Nothobranchius furzeri: one gene and its partner. The protein of the gene in region 2 purifies or fractionates together with the protein of the main gene of each other region. This does not show direct contact. Links are inferred from orthologs where the notes say so. Each region holds a gene or a part of one and is shown on either strand. Other genes may lie near its edges.

Region 1 (4,424 bases), on a different chromosome or scaffold from region 2:
AAAAAAAGCTCCGGTGCACCTGTTTCAGCACAGAGAAGTTAGAGGAGAAAGTAGCATCAGATGACAGGATTTCAAATTTTACTTCCTGATATTTGGACGTCTCGCCTTAGATTGGATAACAGCAACACAGCTCTACCACTCACTGTTTGCTCTGCAACGCTGATGTTTTATCTGCACAACTAACACAAGCCTGAATGAGCTTCTGCTGTGTGGTGGAGTTGCTAATGCTAACGGTTAGCTTCTACCAGCCGAGATGTTCTATGCTGTTTTCTGGACGCTAAACCAACAATAGCCGTCCTCGTCATGAGCCAAGATGGGTGAGCCCATGAATGTTTAGTGACAGTGTAACGTGGATCTGTCAGGATTTTCTAACCCTAGACTTTCACCATCTATTTTCTAGCTAATCCAGAAGATAGGAGACTTTTGTCATGTTCAGCCTGCATGAAAAACCTCAGAGTAACTAAAATAATCATTAAAAAAGGTTTTTCAATGAACCACACCTTAAAACATTCTTACCGAGTTAACGTCCCAGATCTTCAGAGTTTTGTCATCCGACGCAGAAACAAGAAGGTTGGAGTCAGATGACCAGGCCACATCAGATATTCCCTGGAAAATAAAGAAATTCTAAGATCTCAAGGCTTCAAGGACATAAAATGATACAAGAGTAAACAATGGAGTCATTTCTCATGTTTATCTTCTAAAAATGTAAATACAATCTTGTTCTTGCTTTGAACGACCAAACAGATCAGACTCAAAGTTTTTATTATTCACTGCATGTGAATACCCTCTGCTGCTGCATGGCACTCAAATGGTGTGTTTGGAATAACAGAAGAAAAAAAGAACAGATATAAATATATAAACAGAAGTACATGTTTACTAGATATGTAGCAGCAGTAAATGTATTCACTTTATATTAGACTTATTGCACTGGTGACTGAGGTTTTTGCTCTAATGCGCATGAGAGGGTTTTAGTACATTTAGTTTACTGCTGTGGGGAAGGGGATTGTTTGCACCAACTGGACGGCAAGAGTCCAAAACAGTAATGACCAGGGTGGGAGGAGTCTTTGATGTTTTAGTAAAAGCGGTGAAACTCTACCTAATACAGTCCTGCAGGCAGAAACACAACAGTGCCACAGGTAAGGGTCCCTTCTACTCACAAGTTTGTGTCCAGAAATGGTTTTCTCAAACTTGCCATCATAAGCGCCCCAGATTTTGATGAGTTTATCAGCAGCTGTAACACAAACAATGAAAAAGACATCATGAAAAAGAGAAAAAAAATGACTGAAAAGTTGCAAAATGGTAAAAAATATATAATTTCCCCATTTCAATCATTTCAGCTGATCAGATATTCAAATGAAACGAGTGTACCCAAAGATAAATACTAAAACCAATAAAAATTTCACAATTGCATAAGAATATTTAGTCACTAAAGCACTGCTATTATTGTTATTTACATTTAACTTAGAGCACAAAATACACTTCATCTATGCAGTACAAGTGTTTTATCAAACTTTAAAAAAAGCTCTGGATCAAACATAGTTTCACAAAACCCAATACATTTTATTATGGAATGAAAGAAGATTTATGTTGAGGTAGCTGAGATTTAAACAAGATATGATTCAAAATGAGATGCTTACACGAGCTGGCGAGCCATTCTCCACTTGGACTGAATTTAACCGAGGACACAGCCTTAGTGTGTCCCGCTAGTGTGAATTTCAAACTGTAGTTTGGTTTTGCAGGTGCAGTCTGCAAAAGAAAACCAGTTCTAATTTAGCAAATGAATAAACATGATGAAATACTTTCAATAAAGAAAGAAAAAATCCGAAATAATGCTGGAATATTGACAGTCCTTAACAAAAACTTAGAATTAAACTATCATAAGAGGACAGGGTGGGAGATTACAGGCAATGCCAAAACTTGGGTTTGTCAGACCTTGCTTTGGCTAGCAGAGGCTGATGGGACAACTGGAGGCTTGGTGTCAGTCTCTGGTTTCTTGTCCTCTGTTGCCATGGTGAGGAAATCAGCATCTATTGCACCTGAGACAAAAGAAGAAACCATAAAAAAAGTTAATAAATCAGGCAAGTTAAACCTAAAGATTAAACAACTGGGATAAGTTATTGGGTGGAAATTTTACAATTTCTAACACCCGGAATTTTAAAGTTTGGAGAAATAAGATAAACCCTCCAGCTCGATGACTGCTAATAACCACCATTAAGGTAAACGTGATTAAAAACTATTGTTTTATCTGTTAGCATTAGCTTCCTTTACTGTGATCTAAAATAAACAGTGGGGTTTACTTTAAATAAGATAAATTAAGTATATATCATGTAAATTTTACTTTAATTAGGCTTATTAATAGGCTGTGATGCTCAAAAGTATTTAAATGCCCGTTTAGGGTCCGTTTAGCTATAAAATTAGCTAATGCAGCTAGCTGAAGTTAGCTAACGTTAAATTGCTCTTACTATGAAAACCGATTGAGGCCAACCCCCTTGTCCGGTTACCGTTTACCATCTTGTGTTGCCTTCAAATGCATTGACACCAGCTCGTTTTTGCTTCGAATTATTATTTATGCGAAAAATAAAAGCAAACAAAGGGAGAACGAGTACGTTCGCTGTAAAGTTCAACACCTGAATATACTTGGGTTACCTTCGAACAAAACAACGTGAAGATCTATAGATTAGAGGCTGTCTCGCGGAATAAAATGTATTTTGGCATGAACGCCACAGTTATATGAAGAAGCTAATCGCAGTTTTGACATGCAGTTGATGCTGTTGACAAGTTATGCAGCCACGAAGGGGGCCTCCATTGAAACAATGAAGATTCGGTTTTACACCGATACTTACGTTGATCAATTTAGATCTACAGTCAGACTGGTACTCCTTGCAAATCCTGGAAATCTAAAACAGTCCGTATAATAACTAAAGAGAGATAGAACAAAGAACAAATCAAGCTATTTGCTTGAGGATGTTTGCCTGGTAAAGGAACGAGCTGCGAGGTGAAGCGGGGAATGTGCTTACAGTTTGCGCAGGCGCATGACGTTCAAAAGTGACGGGAACTAATGAGGGACAATTATGAAAAAATCGTTTCGACTGCCGTTTGAAAAGAGCCCAATAGTTTTAATTAATCTTATTTATTACAAGTTTGTATTTTTTAAATTTAAAATGACAAAAATTCTCAACAGAGAATTTGTAGAAGTACATTATGTGAAATACTTCATCTAAATTTCAATGAAAGGCAGTAGCCATTTAAAAACCAGGCTGTGGCTGTCAGAGTCAATCAATATGCAAAAAGGAAAAGTCTACATGAAACAGAAACAAACACACAGCAAACAAAAATCTAAATAAAACAAACAAATTACATATCTTTAATACGTCGTAACCTTATTTTATGCTTTATGTAGTTATGAACTACTGACTGTGATATTTTCATAGTAAATCACTTGCATTTATTTATATAACCCTAACCATTTACTTTTTAGCTCAATACTTTCCACAATTATAAATATGATTTTGTGAAATGCAGATTTCACACTTTTACCATAAATCAGCTGTGAACGCGCTTTGGATTCTCCGGCTCAACAGATGGCGCTATGAGCACCAGACCTGTCCCTTCAGCCGTGGCTGCAATAGGTCGGGGAAGAAGTTTCTAGTTCTTTTTGAACACACTGCACTCTGGTGTTCACTAGTTTGTTTTGGCTTCGGTGAGCTTTCTTCCAAGCCGTGCAGCGTCAAGCTCCCATGTCAACACGCCCTCTTAAATGAGTTGGTAAACACTTCTGTTGTTATTTTCTTATTTTTACTCATTACTTAGCGGTTAGCCTCCTCCATAACAACAATAGGTGTTTAAAGAAGCGGACTTCTTCGCTTCGTTATATGATAATTTAATTCAAGCTTATTTATTGGCGCTACATTTTGCCCCAAATTAAAGCAAACGTTACTTAACCAAAACCTGTAGTTGGTATTTCGAAACTTATATCAACAGTCGGTGTCACAAAGTGTGTTGTCATCCGCTGCAGTGTCCCTTACCAAACCAGCTAGCTAACTTTATGCTAACGAACATCGTGCATACTTGTGTTTTTATTTCACGATAAGTATTTGAAACGTTTTAAAGCCAATCATGTCGCTTTGTCCAAACCTACATTTTAATACATTTTGAGTAAAACCATCTCGCTTATTTAGTCATTTAGTCTCATTCGTACATTACGCCACGTTTTTCACTGTAAACGAAAAGTATTTGACGATATCTTCTGCGTCACCGCTTATGAAAAGCTTTTACAAGTTATTTCGGGAATCTGAAATCATGTTGACAAATGTCTTCTAACTTTAAACTGAGCTTTGTCTCGTGTTCTGTTCTTGTGGCTAACGTGCACGTTGTCACGTCCGCCAGATTTTTTTTCTATAAATATTTTGAACGTGCACGTTGGT
Region 2 (4,174 bases):
AATGACAGGTAAAACTATGGTTGGACTGATTTTAGTCTCCTTTAAATGTTTCCATTCATCAACACTTCCTGCCAGCTGTTCCAGGCTTTTTTGGAAGTTTAACATCTCCGACAGGCAAATAGCTGTTAACATGTGACCAGTTACTTTTAAAATAAACTCCATAATGTGTCTTTACAAGTGGTTATAGAAGAAACCAACCATTATCCATTACTGAGAACCAGCAGACTGAAGCCTCATTTACACCAAGTGCAGAACAGAATGAGCAGCTGATAGAGCTCCAGACAGGTGTGGACATTCATGGTCCTCCTTGGATAAATATCTCACCACTGTTCCTCTAAGGAGATCAGAATGCTGCTGCCAAAATAACATTCTGATGTAGGCCAAGGATTGATACCCTGACAGAACCACTCAGCTGGCTGTGACACTTTTAATAAAGCAACATTTAGGTTTTCTTTTTTCTGTATGCATTTGTCCTAAACTACAAATGAAGAGGGTAAAACTAGGCCACATAAAACCTTTATTTGAACTTTATATTTACAAACTGTAAACAAAGCGTTCATTTCAAACACGTCGGCACTTGCATCAAGGAACAAAACATTTAACTGAACTCAAAAAGGTTGACATAGACTCAAGTAAAAAAAATAAACAAATTGGAATGTGGACTGACATTATCGCTTTTTGACTAATCTTATATCCAACCCAGTCACCTGCTTTGACAAACTTTTAATCTACAATACCCCAACTGCCATACAAATGATTTTGTCTCAAATCAGCTAAAGTAGCTAAAGAAGAAAAAAAAAAGCAGAACAGAGAACACAATAAAAACCTAAAACATAAAGGTGTGCAGAATCCAGGCAAAGGCTACTGAGCCTCATCCTCTGGACAGGAATGCCACGTCAGCCGCTCCTCATAGAAGGATATGACCACCTGAGGGCAGCGCGTGTTGGCCTCACGAGCAGGGACCAAGTCTGCTTCATCTGACTCTTTCCTGGGGGACAAAAAAATAAATAAAAACTAAAATAAAACAGCAGATCTTAGAAAAGCCTATTTAAAAATCAAAGAAATAAATTATATATATTCAAGTGATTTTATTTCTAAATACTCTACATGTTTGTAATAAACCTTTTCCGCTTTTAGTTCGACTCCCTAAAAAAACACTAATGGCCATGCAAAGCAACCGAGGTAAATGTGAAACTACTCTTGTTGAAATTGGGTGTAAAGTCTGCCTAACTCACCACTTCATCAAGAACATCAGCTCCCCGCTGCTGTCTGTGGCACCAATGATTCGCTCTGGCTCCAGGTTCCTGGCAAAGCCGCGAGGCTTATCAGGCTGTCAAATAAAAACAAAAACAGGTTATAAACCATATTCTGATTGCACAACCTACAGGGAATCATGCTAGCAGGTCAGAGACATAAAAAACGTATAATCTAACCACATCTTTCTTCTTGGGTTCCTCTTCTGCATCATCTGTGGAGGCCTTCCTCTTCACTGCAGCCGGCTTCTCCTTTATATTCTTCTGGGAATCCAGAAAGGCCTGAATGAGCTCGGGGCAGTCCAGGTTATCCTCGGGTTCCCAGGTGTTGTCCGCTCTGAGGGAGCAAAAAAAAAAAAAAAAAAAACAGGTTAGCGTTCAAACCAAAAACATCCCAAACGTGTTAAAAGGGAAAAGCTGGGAGGCTTCATGCAGCCACGGTGCGTTAGAGGCGGAGAGAGCAGGACATTGTCCCGGGTAACTCACTCTGTGAAGCCTTTCCACTTCAGGTAGAACTCTACTTTCCCGTTGACGATCCGCTGGTCCAACACTTTCTCCACAACAAATTCTTCAGGCTCCTCCTGGGTCTCGGTCTCCTTCTTAGGCTTTGTATTCTGTTTCTTGCCCATTTTGCTTTTTAAAGATAAAAAGACGAGCCGCATTTATTCGGAAGGCCTTAAATCCACCCGGATGCTAGGCTACAAATAACTCAGCCAACGCTAACATAGGACATTACTCTAATTTGGCCCACCTGCTAGTTAGCTCAGCATTTAGCAGCTAAACGTAACAAAGGTTGCTAACACGCTGACCCCTTACCTAAAATTTCCTTGATTTTAAACAGTCTCATCTGCGGATTTTATTTGAGCAACAGAATTAGTAGAATTGTAAAAGATAAAATAAAAACTGTGGTAAAACTACAACACATCCCCACAAAACAACACCTTACTTGCCTTACTTTCAGCTAGCTTAACATATTACAGTAATAGCTAAACAATGGCGATGCTAACGCTGCTGGGTCAACAACTAAACTGCTGTTTGTCAAAAAACCAGCAACGTATAGGTGGCGTTTTAACACGCTCAGAGTAGCCTGATGTAATTAAAGAAATACTCAACATTGTTTTAAAAGAGAAGAACTCCGCACACTCACCCAAAGCGCGCGGATTTCTATAGTTGTTCAGCACCACGCCGCTCGGATGAAGTCGATCCCACAACGAAGGCGGCGCCAAAAACTAGTTGTGGCTACGGAAGCCCAGAAGGAAAAGCGATTCGTCTGCAGCCGAGCTGACCCATGTGTTCCAGAAGGGCCCTTTTCATGAACCAAGGCTTCAAGCCGCTAGTTAACGCAATCTGAGACACGTTGGTAGTAAATGAAAACGTTTATATATGTTTTAAACTATAAAGTAGTGGAAGGAATAAAGCATAAACACTAGCAATCATTTTCTTTTTCAGATTGTTCAAAAATGAAAAATTTAACAAATTGACCCCAAAGTCATAATGCTAATGCTGAATTCAGATTAAATTGAGCACCTGATGTCTCAAGTTGTTTAGATTGTTCTCAGACTGAGTGAAACAATTTCTTTTACTTTCTACTGAATACCGTAAATGACTGGCTTGTGATTTTGAACGAGTATTTGTTAAATATGCTTTACAGCCATATTTTAATAAATCTGTCTGCCTTCTGTCCTGAAATGATGCCGGTCAACACAGGTGTTCAGCTCAGGTGAGGAAAATAATGTTGATATGCTCACCAGCACGCAGCACCATAACAGTAATGGTATATATAACCTGTTAGCCAGACAAAACAAGACATTATTTAAATGTTTTTAATAAAGAAATCAAGTATTCTTCAATCAGATTTATCTTTTCAATAATCACCGCAAACAGACAGACAAATGTGACTCATGCATGAAAAAACAAGATGTATGAAAGTGAAATGCACACAAATAAACGTTTAAACCAGGACAAAGAGAAAACATGATCTTTGGATCACAATTAAGTTTATACACTCCCTAGTGCAGGGGAGTCCAATCCTGGTCCTGGAGAGCCAGTAACCAGCAGGTTTTGTGGTTTTTCTGCTTCAAAATGCTTGATTAGCTGGTTGAATCACCTGTGCAGCAGCTCATCAGGCTCTGCAGAAGCCTGTTAATCACCTGCTGATTGAAATCAGGTGTGCTGAAGCAGGTTAAAACGAAAAACGTGCTGGATAACGGCCCTCGAGGACCAGGATTGGACACCCCTGCCCTAGTGTAATCAAACACTCAGCCTGTCATATTGCATTCTCTAATAATCCCAAACATATAAACAGACAACAATCATTCTTGTTTGTGTAGCGAGTGGATAACATATTTTGCATGACAGGGGATTTCTTCTGTTCTAAAGTTATTTTTAGGTGAGGTTGTGCTTTAGTAGATGTGAGGGGATTCATGTCAGATCAGCTGACTTAAGTAAAGCACAAAAGGGTCAGCAGATGAGTAAAGTTTGCCTTTTTGTGCCATTTAGAAGCATCTTTATGGGAAAAGTGAGAAATTATGTTTTCCAGAATGGGTCTTTGTAACATAGATACAACCTTATGTATCATTTTGGGTGTATTTTAGGAGTAAAGAGATTATAAAACAATTATAAACAAGAAAAAAACTGATTAGAATACCTCACACAATCTCACTGAGAAAGAAAATCCATTTTAGATGAAACTGGAGCCAAAAATCACAGAAAGTCATCCCTGTAAACTGGAAATCAAACAAAAGAAGTTGCGTGAGACCGTTTTAGAATTGTTCTATTTAACTCAGCAAACCTTACAGAAGCACGCTGCATATAAAACAACATTCAACAAAGCTGGGACCACCGCTTTGGTTCATTTTTAGCTGAACATCATCAAAAACTGATTTCTGAGCATAGCATGCTGAAACTCGAACTATGAAGGA

Evidence for each region. The genes of interacting proteins can lie anywhere in the genome.
Region 1: the proteins of cbx3a (region 2) and wdr5 purify together in Homo sapiens (affinity purification with mass spectrometry; 3 studies listed by BioGRID and IntAct, with this or other methods). This does not show direct contact. The link is inferred for Nothobranchius furzeri from reciprocal best matches to the Homo sapiens genes CBX3 and WDR5.

The regions. Positions count from the first base shown.
Region 1 is NC_091746.1:41,695,352-41,699,775, reverse strand, and holds the start of wdr5 (WD repeat-containing protein 5), read right to left. Parts: upstream 3,031-4,424; 5' UTR 2,844-3,030; intron 2,037-2,843; 5' UTR 2,011-2,036; coding exon 1,933-2,010; intron 1,747-1,932; coding exon 1,638-1,746; intron 1,232-1,637; coding exon 1,158-1,231; intron 607-1,157; coding exon 517-606; intron 1-516.
Region 2 is NC_091751.1:29,401,441-29,405,614, reverse strand, and holds cbx3a (chromobox protein homolog 3a), read right to left. Parts: upstream 2,550-4,174; 5' UTR 2,401-2,549; intron 2,388-2,400; exon of another isoform or gene 2,070-2,387; intron 1,887-2,069; 5' UTR 1,883-1,886; coding exon 1,740-1,882; intron 1,591-1,739; coding exon 1,434-1,590; intron 1,331-1,433; coding exon 1,236-1,330; intron 989-1,235; coding exon 862-988; 3' UTR 501-861; downstream 1-500.